Macaca mulatta: one gene and its partners. The protein of the gene in region 4 binds, or shares a complex with, the protein of the main gene of each other region. Links are inferred from orthologs where the notes say so. Each region holds a gene or a part of one and is shown on either strand. Other genes may lie near its edges.

Evidence for each region.
Region 1: ZBP1 (region 4) and CASP8 share a complex: the UniProt entries of both Homo sapiens proteins name them as parts of the AIM2 PANoptosome complex. The link is inferred for Macaca mulatta from reciprocal best matches to the Homo sapiens genes ZBP1 and CASP8.
Region 2: ZBP1 (region 4) and AIM2 share a complex: the UniProt entries of both Homo sapiens proteins name them as parts of the AIM2 PANoptosome complex. The link is inferred for Macaca mulatta from reciprocal best matches to the Homo sapiens genes ZBP1 and AIM2.
Region 3: ZBP1 (region 4) and MEFV share a complex: the UniProt entries of both Homo sapiens proteins name them as parts of the AIM2 PANoptosome complex. The link is inferred for Macaca mulatta from reciprocal best matches to the Homo sapiens genes ZBP1 and MEFV.

Annotation. Positions count from the first base shown.
Region 1 is NC_133417.1:106,371,373-106,375,681, reverse strand, and holds the start of CASP8 (caspase-8), read right to left. Parts: upstream 2,815-4,309; 5' UTR 2,484-2,814; coding exon 2,459-2,483; intron 273-2,458; exon of another isoform or gene 216-272; intron 1-215. UniProt on the Homo sapiens protein: Thiol protease that plays a key role in programmed cell death by acting as a molecular switch for apoptosis, necroptosis and pyroptosis, and is required to prevent tissue damage during embryonic development and adulthood.
Region 2 is NC_133406.1:107,851,344-107,854,905, reverse strand, and holds part of AIM2 (interferon-inducible protein AIM2), read right to left. Parts: intron 1,316-3,562; 5' UTR 1,296-1,315; coding exon 1,034-1,295; intron 1-1,033. UniProt on the Homo sapiens protein: Sensor component of the AIM2 inflammasome, which mediates inflammasome activation in response to the presence of double-stranded DNA (dsDNA) in the cytosol, leading to subsequent pyroptosis.
Region 3 is NC_133425.1:4,490,011-4,494,351, forward strand, and holds the start of MEFV (pyrin), read right to left. Parts: upstream 2,828-4,341; 5' UTR 2,629-2,827; coding exon 2,352-2,628; intron 852-2,351; coding exon 204-851; intron 1-203. UniProt on the Homo sapiens protein: Involved in the regulation of innate immunity and the inflammatory response in response to IFNG/IFN-gamma.
Region 4 is NC_133415.1:110,416,305-110,419,866, forward strand, and holds part of ZBP1 (Z-DNA-binding protein 1), read right to left. Parts: exon of another isoform or gene 2,410-3,562; coding exon 2,185-2,409; intron 1,525-2,184; coding exon 1,456-1,524; intron 1,002-1,455; coding exon 828-1,001; intron 1-827.

The DNA of each region.
Region 1 (4,309 bases), on a different chromosome or scaffold from region 4:
CAAGATCTGGAAACTGCACGGCCCTCGGCAAGGCTCTCAGAGGGACTGCTACCTCTTCCACTAACTTCATGGTTTCCCATCCACACTCACATATGAGGATCACCTCCATAGCCCCAGGGCCACCCAACCTCACTCTCAGCAGCCTAAAAAACTCCAGAATCAAAGGCCTTCTCCCAAAAGGCCCCTCTGACCTTAACAAAGGGGCAAATCCTTACCTTACTCTCACGATGGTAACACCTTTGTTACAGGCCTCTCCACTGCCATCTGAGCATCTAAGACAAGAGCAAACATCTAATGAAGGATGAAGGGCACAGCCAGCTGTACTTCCTGTTTCGAAACTCCTAAGTCACAAACACTAGAGGGGAGGGAACGCTTACCACTTGCCCCTGAGTGAACAGAGCACCTTCTAAAGCTTCTAAAGCTGGAGGAAAAAGGCCTGATGGTCCAAGAGACTGCCTGCAGGGTGGGGCGGGGCATCTGGCCACCTGAGCACTGGCCCCTGGCTATGATGGGCCATTTTACCTTTGGGGCCTCATTTCCACATTCCAAAATGAGGACGTTGGACTGGATTGTAACTAAGAACACTTTCATTTCGTATTTAGGATTTAAAGATTTTTCTGGGTTCATCATTAAGACTTTAATTTTTTCATTCAATGAATCTTGATGGAGCACCTCGGAGAAGTCTTGAGATTGGACATCGCAGAGCCCTCATCTTGGTTCTCAGGGTGACTGTGAACGTTCAGAGCTAAAGCCCCTGGTTTAGCCAAGGAGCATCTCTGTGGCCCCAAGTCACCAGATTCCACTCTCAGCCGCCTAAAAAACTCTAAAAAAAAAAAAAAAAAAAAAAAAAAAAAAAAAAAAACTCTAAAAAAGAAAAAACTCTAAAATGAAAAACCTCTAAAAAGAAAAAAACTCTGAAATAAAAAAATTCTAAAATGAAAAAAATCTAAAAAGAAAAACCTCTAAAATGCAAAAACTCTTTGGTAAGATGGTAACCCTATCTTACCAAAGGTGATCCTTGTATATGAGTGTAGCTGGGGACACCACGAAGTTAGCCACAAGATGGGTTTACCATCTTATCAAAGAGGCAAATCCTGGGGCCCTCACCATGTTGGGCTCTAGGGACAGATCAGTAAACAAAAGATTGCCTTCATACTGAGAGTTAGACGAAATGTTTTCTGATGTTAAAAGTAGGAAAAGAAAATCAAGCACCTCTCTTCTTTGAAACTGCCTTTTGTCTTTCCCCAAATAGAATATAAGCTTTCAGAGGGCAGGGACTCATAGCTGAGAAGACTGAATGAAGTATCTGAAAAGGACTCTTCACCAGAGAGGGCTAGGTCAAGGTGGCCTGATAACATCAATGCCTGGATGGCCACAGTGGCTCATGCCTGTAATCCTAGCACTTTGGGAGGCCAAGGCGGGAGGATCCCTTGAGCGTAGGAGTTTGAGACCAGCCTGGGCAACATAGTGAGACACCATCTCTATGAAGAAAAATTTTTGAATTAGCCAGGTGTGGTAGCACACGACTGTGGTCCCAGTTAATCTGAAGGCTGAGATGGGAACATTGCTTGATCCCAAGATGTCGAGGCTACAGTGAGCCATGATTGCACCACTGCACTCCAGCCTTGGGTGACAAAGCAAGATCTTGTCTCAAAAAATAAATAAATAAAAAAGAAATAGAAACAGAATGAGTAAAATAAAATGCCAATAGTATTAATATGCAATAATAATTGCTAACTCATGTAGTAAGTGATGTGTGCGTATTATCTCCTTCAAGCCTCACAGTCACCTCTCAAGGCATTATTAATCCCATTTAACAATGAGATAACAGAGGTACAGAGGAATTACTTACTTGCCTGAGATGGCATAGTTAAAAAACAGTGTACATATACAAAAGAAAAATACATTTTGCAAAGATACAGATAAATTCACGAATCCACATCAAAACATTAGAGAATTATCTTTGGGGAGCAAGAGAGAGGGCAGGAGGGCAGGGGTGGGGGTGGAGACATAAAAGGAAACCCTTAAGACACGGAAGAGGGGTAAGCGGTCTGTGCACCTCAGGGCACTGTGATTCGACAGAATAAAGAACTTAACCCTCGGCCCCAGAGCCAAATGAAAAAGAAAAAAAAAGTGGATTGATAAAGTTTTCTGGACTCTCCAAACGGGTTCACAGGAGGGAGACCGTGTATCTGTATTCCAGGCAGTAGGGAAGCTGGGAGGACAAAAAGGCAGCAGAGGAAATGGAGACTGCTCAGAGTGAAAAAGTAGCAAGATCAGAGGCAACAGCTCAGAGAGAAACCCCACAGGAGACCTGGCCAGGCAGCACCCAGAGGTGTCCTCAGCCGGGCAGATCCAAGCTTCTTCCCCGCCCCCACAGCCCTGTTTCTAGAGCAACTCAAGAAACAAAAATATGTGGTTTCCTGTTGAAGAGGCCACCTCGGCAACAGGCACTCACCCGCTCCACCCTTTCCTGGCACCATCGCAGTCTCTGAGCCCCCTAACCTGCCTAACTCCACGTGCTCAGTGGGGAAGGGGGTGGGACAGGCTCCCAGGAAGAAGTTTCTTTTACTTTCAGTAACCACCCTGGCTCTTCTGCCTCCCTCCACCGCCTCACTTCCTGTTGAGTTGACTAGCAAATTCAGGAGGCTTGAAAAAAAAACACAAGAGATAAAAGGAGGAGAACCTGTGAAAACACTTCCCTCCAGCAGAAGGGCAGAACCTGGTCTCCAAGAGAAAGAGAAAACTTCACAGCAGAATGAACTGCAGGGTAAATTTTACTCCTAAAGCAGAACAGAGATGACTCACCCGAACAAGAAATGTTTCCTATTTAAAGGAACAGATGCCCAATTTCCAACCATTCAGAAGAGGGAGGTGGCAGACATTTCATGGACATGCAAAACTAAAACCCCGAGCGCTGGACGTGCTTTATTGGAAAGCATTTATACTGACTCCATTTAGTAATCATAACCCCTGTCGGTGACAAGTAATATGCCATTCTTCCTTGCAAAGGGTCTGGGAAGAGGAAGTTTCCCTCTGCCTTGATCCAAACCTCAGCACTGAAGTCATAGACCAGCCCTCTCCTCCCTCCCTACGGACTGGGTGAAGCCACCCCTGTAGCTGAAATGTAGGTAGACTGTTCACAAAAAAAGGAGGAAGTGTTCTGACTCAGCCCTACTTGGCTCAGCCCTAAACAGAGCTAAACAGCCCTAAATAGGGCTGAGCCAGGACACTTCAGTTCCCTTCTTTGGCCATGTTCTCCAGTTTAGTTGTAACCCGTGTCTTTGTAGCATTGATCCTGGAGTGTTGGTGCTACTGAGGTCTGTTCCCCAAAGCTCTGAACCCCAGACCCTCCCTTGTTCTCTTTTTTTTTTTTTTTTTTTTTTTTTTGAGATGGAGTCTCAGTCTGTTGTCCGTGTAACAGTACAGTGGTGCGGTCTTGGCTCACTGCAACCTCCACCTCCTGGGTTGAAGTGATTCTCCTGCCTCTCAGCCTCCCAAGTAGCTGGGACTACAGGCACCCACCACCACGCCTGGCTAATTTTTGTATTTTCAGTAGAGACGGGTTTTCACCATGTTGGTCAGACTGGTCTCGAACTCCTGACCTCAAGGAATTCACCCACCTTGGCCTCCCAAAGTGCTAGGATTAGAGGCATGAGCCACCGTGCCCAGCCACTCCCCTGTTCTCTGCCATCCGCCTCTGTTTCCCATGTGAATTTTTTTTTTCTTTTTTTTGGGATGGATTTTCGCTCTTGTTACCCAGGCTGGAGTGCAATGGCGCCATCTCGGCTCACAGCAACCTCCGCCTCCCGGGTTCAAGTGATTCTCCTGCCTCAGCCTCCTGGGTAGCTGGGATTACAGGCATGCACCACCATGCGTGGCTAATTTTGGATTTTTAGTAGAGACAGGGTTTCTCCATGTTGGTCAGGCTGGTCTCAAACTCATAACCTCAGGTGATCCACCCACCTCGGCCTCCCAAAGTTCTGGGATTACAGGTGTGAGCCACTACACCCAGCCATGAATTTTTAAAAAGGGTTTTCTGCCCTTTTGCTTGCACATCTTGTACATTTTATAACCAGAACACCAGAAGTAACATATTACCTGTATGTTACACCTTGACATGAACTATCTCTAATTCTTGCAGCAATTCAGGGTATTGTTCTCCCATGTTATGGATGAAGAAACTAAGGCTCAAACAGTTCCATGGAGTCAAACTCAGTCCTGCTGGGCCAAAACAGAGATTTTTCTATGACACACTAACTCCCTTTCTCCAACACTTAGGATTTGGAATGAATCATGTGGATGGAAG
Region 2 (3,562 bases), on a different chromosome or scaffold from region 4:
TTCTAACTTAAAGCCTGGGAAAACAACCACTCCTTTCTCATTAGTGCCTTAGAAACTACCTCACAGTTTACATCTGTATAGAATTATGGACCTACATAGTATCACTTATGTGGCTTCATTTAACCTTCTTATAAACCATGTGTGAGAAGCCATGTCACCGTGTTGTACACCCACAAATGCTATTAAAAGCTGTTGTAATCTTTGCTGTTACGGTTTTACTTTGAATCCTAAAACTGTTGCATTTGGAGACTCTCATTTGGGACAGTCCTGGAGTGATATGCTCCTTTGTTAGCTCTTTTTTGTTCTTCAGACATGAAGCCGGGACGTATCAATTGTTCTTGGTAAACAAAATCAGGAATTTAAACTAAATGTATATAATTCAGATGGAGATGATGAGTGATTTATTGAATAATGTTAAAAAAGTCTTTTTGCTGTGGGTAATTTATACTGTCACTGGAGATAGAGAGGAGAGAGAATCCCTGAAGGAGGATTCTCCCTCCCTGAAGAAGGAGGAGATCATCCCCTAAAGAAAGCAGCATAGTCTGGGACCATAGAAAGATAGGGACATGGAGAGAAATAAACAGACTGTGTGAAGGAAAAAAAGGTGCTCAATATCCTGGTTTACAATTTTCCAATGCAATAATTTATATTTTTGAGACTTCAGTAGAATGTGAGAGCATTACATACTGTGGAAATGGAGTTGGGAAAAGTTAACTTTGAAATTCTACATCCATATTCACTGTAATTGAACTGGAGACAAAGATGGGCAAGGAGAAAAGATGATAAATGGAAGTGGTCACCCTAAAGGCTGGAACAAGAGATGCAAACCAAGGCTGGAATGGATTTGTGGAATTTGTAACAAACACTTCCTACAAGTGATTCTCAGTAAAAGGGGGCAAAGAGACAGGTGCACTAAGTTAGCAAACAAATTCCAACAGTGTGCACTGGGGGTCATATCCCAGGGACGCCATGAAAGGAAAGGCCCAGGCTTGGCAGAGAAAGGGACTGGGCAGGTGCGGGACTACCACATTACCTTTCTCCTTCTCTTCCTGAAGACGTTTTGCCAAAAGCATATAATTCAACTTCTGAAAAATAAGAATGGTCTTCTTCACTGCAGTCACTGCACCAGCATTTTGAATCATCAAGTTAGCTACTTGTATTCTGTTTGCAGTACGTAGTTTGCCTGTGGCGACATTAAACTCGTCTGAAAGAAAGAACTTAAACCTATCCAGTTCCTCATCAGTGATGTTATCCAGGCCTGTTAGCAAGAGTATCTCCTTGTATTTACTCTCCATCTGACGACTTTGGGATCAACCTATAAGGAATCCAAAGCATGTAAGATTACAACACCAAAAGGGATTCTACATTCAAAATAAAGCAAGGTGAGCTATTAATATTTTTAAAGAAAAATAAACAAAATGTTTGCAGTAGTAAAAGAGATTTGAATGGGACATAGGTAAGAACTTCTTAAGCAAGGTGATCCCTATTCCTGGGAAAGACATCTTCAGAAAGTATACAACACCTCTGGAATTCTTAGAAAACAGGATACATCAGCTGGGCATGGTAGCTCACGCCTGTAATCCCAGCACTTTGGAAGGCCAAAGCGGGCGGATCACCTGAGGTCAGGAGTTTGAGACCAGCCTGGCCAATATGGCAAAACCCCATCTCTACTAAAAATACAAAAATTAGCCGGGCGTGGTGGTGGGGGCCTGTAATCCCAACTACTCAGGAGGCTGAGGCAGGAGAATCACTTGAACCAGGGGGCGGAGGTCACAGTGAGCCAAGATCGCGCCATTGCACTCCAGCTTGGGCGACAAGAGCAAAACTTTGTCTCAAAACAAACAAACAAACAAACAAAAAAAAAAAACACTACAACAAAAAGGAAACAGGATACATTTTCCTTTTATTTTTAAAATAGATTTATCGAGGCATAACTGGCATACAACACAGTGCATATATTGGAAGTATACAATCTGATAAATTTTGGCATATACATATACCTGATGAAGTGCAATTAATCAATTTGTTCTTTCATGGATCATGCTTTCACTGTCTTATTTAAGAAATCTTTTCCAATCTCAAGATGAGAAGATTTTATGTTTTCCTCTAAAAATATTATGGTTTAATCATTTTATTTGGGTGTATGTACCGTTTTGAGTTATTTTGTATATAGTATAAGCAATGACTCAAAGTTCATTTATTTTTCATATGAATATGAAATTTCCCAGAACCGTATATTAAAAAGACTATCCTTTTTAACGATTTTTTTTACCTTTGCAAAAATCAGTTGTCCAAATATGAGTGAGTCTATTTCTGGATTCTTTATTCTGTCCATCAACCTATTTTTGTATCTTGTTGCCAAAATCACATTGTAGTAATATAGTTGTTTATGTATAGTATCCAAAATAATACACAAAACATTATAAATAATAATTCAAAAGTTTGTAACTATAAGATTAATATGCAGAAATGCATTCCTTTATTCTAGCACCACTCCAAGAGTGAAAAAAATCACGTAAAAAAGTAATTTCCAATAGCAACAAAACTACAAAGTACATAAGAACATCTAATACAATATATTTAAGAGTTTTAAAGGGAACCTTATAAAACTTCATTGGGAGATTTAAAAGACCTACTTAAGTGGGTGTATGTGTGATATTTTAAATGGGAAAACTTGATAAAATGAAGACAGCAATGTTGTCAAATTAATCTATAAACTCCCATCCAAAATCTCAAAGGGTTTTTCATAGAACTTATCAGAATGATATTAAAACCTAAATGAAAAAAATAAAGACAAAAACCTGCAAAACATGTTGAATTGTTTATTAGGATGTAGTATCCCTACTACTAGGTATCAATACTTACTACAAATGTATAATAATTAAATCGATATGGCAGTTGCATAGAGAAAAATGAACTAATAAATAGAGTGTGGAAACAGGACCACATGTAAGTTAAAGCATGGTACATAATCAAAGTGGCGTTAAAAATCACAAGGAAAGAATGGCCAACTATAAAAAGTATTCAGTCAAATGATAATATTCGGGGAATGATATATTTGGCCTTTCTCTTATATCATACACAAATATATATCTGGCTGGATTAATTATCTAAACAGAATAGTAATGATGTTGAATAAAACACAGAATTTCTCAATACATTGAAGTAGAAGGAGGTTTCTTAAACAAGGCACAAAAAGGACAAGCCAGAAAAAAAAACAAACTTTGTCAAATGTGATTGCATGCATATTCTTAATTTCTTTGTAGGAAACACACACACACGTGCACACACACACACTAAACAAAGTGTTTATATAAGGCAAAAACTGGGCAGATACCTGAAATATACATATATATATATATAGCTAATAGAAGTTTTGCTTTTGGAATACATGGAGAACCATGTATCACTAAGAAAACAATAAACAGTCTATTTGAAAAGTGTGCAAAAGATGTGAATGAGCAATTTGCTCAAGTATCCAATAAACATAAAAAAGATGTTTGACATTATTAGCAATTAATGACTTCCAGAGCAGCAACATATAAAGTGGAAGAAATAAGCC
Region 3 (4,341 bases), on a different chromosome or scaffold from region 4:
CCTTTGGGTTTTTATTTTTTTAATTTTATTTATAGACATGGCGGGGGTCTCACTATGTTCACCAGACTGGTCTCAAACTCTTGGCCTCAGCAATCCTCCAGCCCTGGCCTCCCAAAGTGCCGGGATTACAGGCATGAGCTATCGTGCCCCGCCAGCTGTTCTTTCTTTGCAGCCGATATAAAGTAGGAAAAAACACAATTTACCGGTGACCGAATGTTCTGGATTCCCAGGGCCTTTCTCCAGGTCCGCAGACGCCCCTCCATCCGGAGTGGGCCTTGCCTGAGCGCCTGTTGCCGAGTCCGGATTCGCAGCTGTCGTTTCCTCTACAGTCAGGAGAGTTTCTGGATTTGGGGGCGCCTTCTCCCCTGTGGAAATGGTGAACTCAAGGCTTTTAGGCCGCTTCTTTCCCGAGGGCAGGTACACTTCGAAGAGCCTGCACTCCTTCCGCCCTGGCGCGCCCCCCGCCAGCCCCTGCAGCCTCCCCGCGGAGCTGGCGTTCCTGCGCAGGAGGACCTCGGCCTGGCCTGGCTCTGGCGCCCTGCAGGGGCTGGGGCCGGGGCTTCTCCCGCCCGGCAGGGCCGGGCTCCGGGTTCGAGGCTTGCCCTGCACGTCCAGGCTCTCCGAGGCCTTCTCTCTGCGTTTGCTCAAGGGCTTCCTTGACAGCCCCCTCCCGGCCTCGGGCTGGCTGTACCGCAGGCTGGCAGCCCAGTCCCCGCACGACCGAGGGCCGTTCCCCTCCTTTCCCTCCTTCCCCTCGGGGTGGTCTGGAGTCTTCAGGCTCCCGGGCTTGTTCTCCTCCAGGGAGCTGGACGCTGCGGAATCGTCTGTGCCATTTTCTTGTGTGGAATATTCTGGAAAGACAACCAGCTACAAAGTCATGAAGCTGTCCCACGTTTAGGGCCCAAGATTCAGGGGAGAGGAGAGAGAATCCCCATGGATATTAAACTTTAGAAATGGAGGAAAAAACGGGCCGGGCACGGTGGCTCATGCCTGTATTCCCAGCACTCTGGGAGGTTGAGGCGGGAGGATCACCTGAGGTCAGGAGTTCAAGACCAGCAGGGTGAAACCCTGTCTCTACTAAAAATACAAAAATAAGCTGAGCGTGGTGGCATATGCCTGTAATCCTAGCTTCTCGGGAGGCCAAGTTGGGAGGATCATTTGAGGTCAGGAGTTCGAGACCAGCCTGGCCAACATGGCAAAACCACGTTCCTACTAAAAATACGAAATTTAGCCAGACGTGGTGGTGTGCACCTGTAGTCCCAGCTACTCTGGAGGCTGAGGCATGAGAATCGCTTGAGCCTGGGATGTGGAGGTTGCAGTGAGCTGAGATTGCCCCACTGCTCTCCAGCCTGAGTGACAAAGCGAGACTCCATTTCAAAAACAAAAGTTCAGGACTTCCTAGACAACGGCAGTCAATTACCATTCAGTAAGAACATGCTTGATGTTGCTACATATTTATCTCTCTCTTATTTTATTTTTTGAGACCGGATCTTGTTCTGTGGCCCTGATGTGATCTCGGCTCACTGCAACCTCTGCCTCCCAGGCTCAAGCGATCCTCTCACATCAGCCTGTTTTCTGTTTTTTCAATAGCTGAGAATACAGGTGTGTGCCACCACACCTGGCTCTTTTTTTTGTATTTTTGGTAGAGACAGGGTTTCACCATGTTGGCCAGGCTGGTCTCGAACTCCTGAGCTCTAGCAATCTACCCACTTTAGCCTCCCAGAGTGCTGAGATTATAAGTGTGAGCCACCATGTATTCCTCAAATAGTACTTTTCAAACGTTGTAAGCAGGACAACTGTTTCAAATAAGATCTTACACAGGTCAGCAAAACCCAGATTATACATTTCAAAAATAAAAATAAACCAGGCACGGTGGTCCATGCCTGAAATCCCAGCACTTTGGGAGGCTGAGGCGGGAGGATCACTTGAGGTCGGGAGTTTGAGACCAGCCTGGCCAACATGGTGAACAGCACTGAAAAGATTCTATACCAGCCCCGTTCATACGATTGCATAGCAATCCCTTTTTGCTAACCTAGAGATGTTTGTCTGACATGAGTATTAATCATAAATGAAGTGAAGAAGTCTCAAAGAATAGGTGCTCCAGCTCCTGCCTTTCCTGACCCTGACCTGCTTCTTTAAAACCCATTGGGAGCCTTAAGGAAGTTTACTAACCCAGTGCCAAAAGCCAGAGTGAAGGAAGGGACGTTCCTGAACTAAAGTCACCTGGATCTTGGTAGACCTGAGACTCCCGACCCCCAAGTCAGAGTGAGCTGCTCTGAGCTCCTGGTCCCTTTTCCCACAAAGCAACCAGGCCTCAGTGCTGGGTGAGGAGGCAGCCTGGGCCCGCTTACCCTGAACGGCTGCCCTGTGGAGCTCCTCAGCCAGCAGGCGCTGGTTGATGGCCCGCAGGACCTGCAGGGTTAGCCGCACAGCGTACTCTTCCCCGTAGTAGGTGACCAGCAGACTGGCCATCTTCACTGGCCTGGCTCTCTGGATCTGGCTCCGGGGGATCCTGGAGTGCTCCTTCTCCACACTGGTGTTCTGCAGCTTGAACTTGAACTTCTCAAAGTCATAGGGCACCAGCTCCTCCAGGGTGGACAGCAGATGGTCACTAGGGGTCTTGGCCATGGCGCTGAGCAGGAGACGCTGGAGCTAGCTGTCTGGCTTCTGGCAGGAGAAGAAGCCTCTACCTTGGTGAGCAAGAAAAAGCAGGTTGTGAAATAGCGGAAAAGGCACAGGAAATGCTCTGTGTCTTGGTGGGAACTGAGACTAAGGGTAAGGGTGTGTCCATGCTGGCTGTGTTCTCTTCTCACAGGTTCAGAGGATTTTCCAGCTGGGAGGGCTCAGTGCCTTGGCAGACATCTGTCCCCACACCCCTCCCAAACCCTGGACCTCATCTCCACACTAGACCACAGACAGGTGGGCAAGTCTGCAAGGGAAGGTCTAGGATTGGATTCCAGACAACCCCTCCAATCTCCCTTCCTGCCAGGATCTGGGGCTGGCAGAGCGGGTGAATGGGAACAGAGAGGACTATGCTGAGGGCCAGCCCTGCTGGTCAACTGTTCTCCTCCAGACTCAGGGTTTCACAGACCCTCCAGAGCCAATGGCATGGGATGGGGGAAGGGGTGGGCAGTAAATACAGCCCCGTGAGCTTTGCCTTTCCTGGCCCAAGAAGGCAAGTGAGGCCAGAAGGGCACTGCCGGGGGATAACTCTTGCCACGCCATCACCCCTGTTGATCCAGTTCCAGTTGTCTGGTTCTTCCAGCCACATGAAGGGCTTGAAAAGCAATGCCTCGACCACCAGCCTGACTCATCTGTTCCCAGAGCTGACTCAGTTCTCACTCCCTGGAGCCAGAATGCCCTTCCGTGCACATTCACTGAACATTCTAGACAGTGTGCCAGGATGCTGGAGCTACAGGGGTGAAAAGGCACGGGTGTCCTTCAGCTCATAGTCTGGTGCAGGGCCCCAGAGGTGGCTTTGAAGCTAACAGAAGTTACATGTCGGGGGCTGGACGTGGTGGCTCACGCCTGTAATCCCAGCACTTTGGGAGGCCAAGGTGAGTGGATCACCTCAGGTTGGGAGTTCAAGACCAGCCTGGCCAACATAGTAAAACCCCATCTCTACTAAAAATACAAAAATTAGCCAGGCATGGTGGCACGCGCCTGTATTCCCAGCTACTCGGGAAGCTGAGGCAGGAGAATCGCTTAAACGCGGGAGGCGGATGTTGCAGTGAGCCGAGATTGTGCCATTGTACTCCAGCCTGGGCGACAGAGCAGGACTTTGTCTCAAAAAAATAAAAAATTACTTGCATACCCTAATTTTTTAATTTTTTGTTTTTAGATAGGGTCTTGCTCAGTCACTCAGGCTGCAGTGCAGTGGCAGGATCTTGGCTCAATGCAACTTCTGCCTCCTGGGCTTGAGCAACCCTCCAACCTCAGCCTCCCAAGTCGCTGGGACTACAGCTGCATGCCACCACATCCGGCTAATTTTTGTATTTTTTTATAGAGACAGGGTCTCACTATGTTGCACAGGCTGGTCTTGAACTCCTGAGCTCAAGCGATCCACTCGCTTTGGCCTCCCAAAGTGCTGGGATTACAGGTGTGTAATCCCTGTAATCTGGCCACTGTGCCCGTCCAGAAGTTTTGTTAATAATGCAGTTTACCCTTCACCAGCACTTCCTCTGCACCAGCCACCACTTGCTTTATAAACACTACCTCCTAGAATCTCTAGGACTGTACCCTGCAGGACTGCATTTATCATCCTCCTCTGCAGCCAAGAATCTGTAGCTTAGTGACTTGCCCAGAGCCAGGATCCAAACATCAAACCACTTCACAACATCG
Region 4 (3,562 bases):
TTAATTTTCTTTTGAGACAGAGTTTCACTTTTGTTGCCCAGGCTGGAGTGCAGTGGTGTGATCTCAGCTCACTGCAACCTCTGCCTCCCAGGTTCAAGCTATTCTCCTACCTCAGCCTCCCGAGTAGCTGGGATTACAGGCGCCGGCCACCAGGCCTGGCTAATTTTTGTATTTTTAGTAGAGACAGGGGGTTGCCATGTTGGCCAGGCTGACCTCAGGTGATCCGCCTGCCTCAGCCTCCCAAAGTGCTAGGATTACCGGCATGAGCGACCACGCCTGGTCCATTTTTAGATATTCATTATTATTATAGTATTCATTTCTTCTGATTTTAAATGAAATTAAAATTAAAACATTTTCAAGGACCCGTAAGAGTGCCATGGGCCTGTTGGATCTTGGCCCTGCGCCTATTAGATCTCACAGGGAAGACGACCCTGGGGCTCCACCCAGTAGGGGTCTGAGCCTAGTCTTGCCTTCTCTTCTGCCAACTTTAAAACCCCAACTTGGGCAAAGTGCTCAAAGAAAACTATTCCCAAACCCAGACTGATACCTGCACCTCAGAGCTGAGAACATTGGGAATGGGCCACCTCCATCCCATTCGCTGGCCTTCTGCAACTGCAGCCCTTGGGCCACGACTCCAGGAAGCTGTTCCTGGTTAATCCTGCCAGCACACCCCTTCCTCCTGGAAGCCCTTGCAGTGAACTGTCAGTGGGACCTCCAGAAGCTTCTGGCAGTTTCTGGTGAGCTTCTCAGCAGAGCACCCAGCAAAGACCAAGCGCTAGTGTCATGGTTTCCCTCTGCAGCCCAGGTGCAGGCAGCTGGGGGCCTACCTGGGCAGTAAATCGTCCACACTTTGGACTGCTCATCCACGTCCAGAAGGTGCCTGCTCTTCATCCTGTACAAGTCTGGGTTCACATCTTTTGCTGTCCTCATTCCCAGTGCCTGGGCGATGACCAGGGCCCTCTGGGGACCATTGTCTTTGAGAAACCTGTAGATGTCTTCCTCTGGGAGGCAGGACGGCCACGTGGTTAGAGAGGAGTCCTAGAATTTGCATCTGCCTCACCCACCGCTTTCTAGCTGTGTGGCCCTGGACCCAGCCCCTCGAGGCCTGGTTTCCTCATCTGTAAAATGGGCACCACGATAACGGGGTCATGATGACGCACCGCAGAGGTGCCCTGAGGATGGGGGATGTGCACGCAGTGCTCTGCCCTGGGCCTGGCACATGGTGGGTGCATGGTGAGGGTCAGCTATTGTCTGACTGGAGAAATCACTGCTCGACATTCAGATTCTCCCGCTGTCAGGGCTGGGTCTTGGCTCTGAACACTGTTTGGGAGCCACCTGGTGGGTGGGACAGGGCCCCTGAACACTGGTGAGATCTCGTACCCTCAAGGAGGGCCTGGGGTTCCTGAGGAGTGGGATCCTGTGTCCCGGGAGCTGAAGGGGCATGCAATGACTTACCCCGCTGTTGGCTGAACTGAGGGCTAGGGGTCTCTGGAACTGTAGCTACACATTGCTGGGGCCTCTCGGCTGGAGAAAGAAAGACGGGTCAGAGGGGTGGGGGACAGAAAACAGCACCAGGGCTCCACCCCACAAAGGTGGGCAGCACCCTAGGGTGAGCTGCAACGCCGGTAGTTGCAAACTCAGACTCCAGAGTTAAACACACTTGACATCAAGTCCTGCCTGTGCCCTGGCAGCTGCGGCTTCCTGCTGGTTTACTTCTCCGGGGCTCAGCCTGCTTTGCCTCCTGGGGTTGTGTGAGGGCTGGGTGAACCCTGAAACAGTGCCCAGCTAATCTTAAGTGCATGACAAATGGCAGCTCTTTCTGGCTGTGGGCTGTAAAGCTAGAAAAGGGGGGCTGGTGGGACTGAGTGTGTTCTGTGATTAGGACCATCATGTCATTGCTGTTTCCATCATGATGATTTTCTGTTATAATTGTTAGTGTTCCGCTGAGTACTTTCTGTGTGCAGGGCTGGGCTGAGCCTGATGCAAGGCCTTCTCTCAGCAACCCCTACCAAGCAGCCCTGCTGTCAGCTCCATCAACCAGAAAAAGAAACCAAGGCACAGAGATGAAACCCATGAGCTCCCAAGTGGCAGAACTCAGATTCGAACCCAGGCTCAAATCTGTGCTTGTCCATTGCCAGGATGGTCCCTGCCTGGTCAGACCCACCTCCCCAGGGTGGCAGTTACCAGGGCTGGACAGGGCCAGCTCTGCAGGACCCTCGCCTCCAGGACCAGTCCCGCCCAAGCGCCAGGTGGCGGGGGCTGTGAGGGAGACTTTCAGCTCCTTTAGCATTCGGTAGAGGACTTGGTTGAGCTCCCTCTTGGGTGCTTGGCATTCCTTCACCAGCTGGGCAAGCTTCACTGGGGAGCCAGCCTCTGTCAGCACCTGCAGGATCCTCTGTTCAAGGTGGCCTGGGGGAGTGAGCGGGGGACAGAGATAGGGACTGAGTCTCCCGGGTCCCCACAGATGAGCCCAGGCTGGAGGCTCCAAGAGGCACGTGAGGCCCCTTTTTGAGAGGTGTCCAGGGCAGAGGAGAGGGCAAAGACCCCAGCAGATGCCCCCTAAGAGCAGCAGAGCAGCTGCCCCTGCCCAGAGAGAGGCATGCAGGCTGATCAGAAATGGCCTGGCAGCCAGAGGAGGTGCCGCCTCGCCTGTGCCCTCCCCGGGTGTGGGTGCCAGGGGGCAGTGGGGTTCCTCAGCTCTCAGGTGTCCTCAGGGCAGAGGGGAGTAGAGGGCAGAAGGACGGAGCCAGAGGGAGGCAGGGGGACCTGAGAGCACAAAGGCAAGTCCTGCCTGGGTGTACCTGATGCCCATTGCCATCCTCCCTGGGAATCAATCGCCTCTTCTCAGCTCACCATCCTTCCATGGTGCCACTATCCATCGAAGCCAGAAACCGACCAGACATCAGAAACAGACCTTTCCCCCAGTGCCCAGTCGTGGAGCCCTGGAAATGCCATTCTTGGATTTTCTGGAATTGCCCCACTCCTCTCTTCTGCCGGCACCACCCGCTTCCTCACCACCATCTCCTGGGTGCAGCAATAGGCTCCCGGTTGGCCCACCAGCTCCAGTCGGGTACCCTCCAGATCTGGCTCTGCCGACCACCCAGCTTGACCTGCACCTGCTCCCAACTTCCCTCCAAGTGCTGGCCTGTTTGTGCTCCCTTTAGCCCCACTCACCCCAGCCCCTTTGCACACACTGTTCCGGCTGCCAGGAACACCCTTCCCCCACATCCCAACCTGTATGATGTCTACTCAACCTCCAGCCTCCTCACATGCCACTTCCTTGGGGAAGCCTGTCCCTGTGTTCCAGAGTGGCTGGGATCTGCTTGTGTGTGGGTCCCCTCGTGTCCCCTGCTGTACTTGCGTGGCTCACTGTTGTACCGTCAGCATGTAGCACAGTGCTGGGCACACAGGACGTGCTCAGGAAATGGCAGTTGAATGTATGAGTGACTGAGTGAATGAATGAATGAATGAATGGGACCAGGAGTGGTGGCTCACACTTGTAATCCTAGCATGTCAGGAGGCTGAGATTGGAGGACCCCTAGAGGCCAAGAGTTCTAGACCA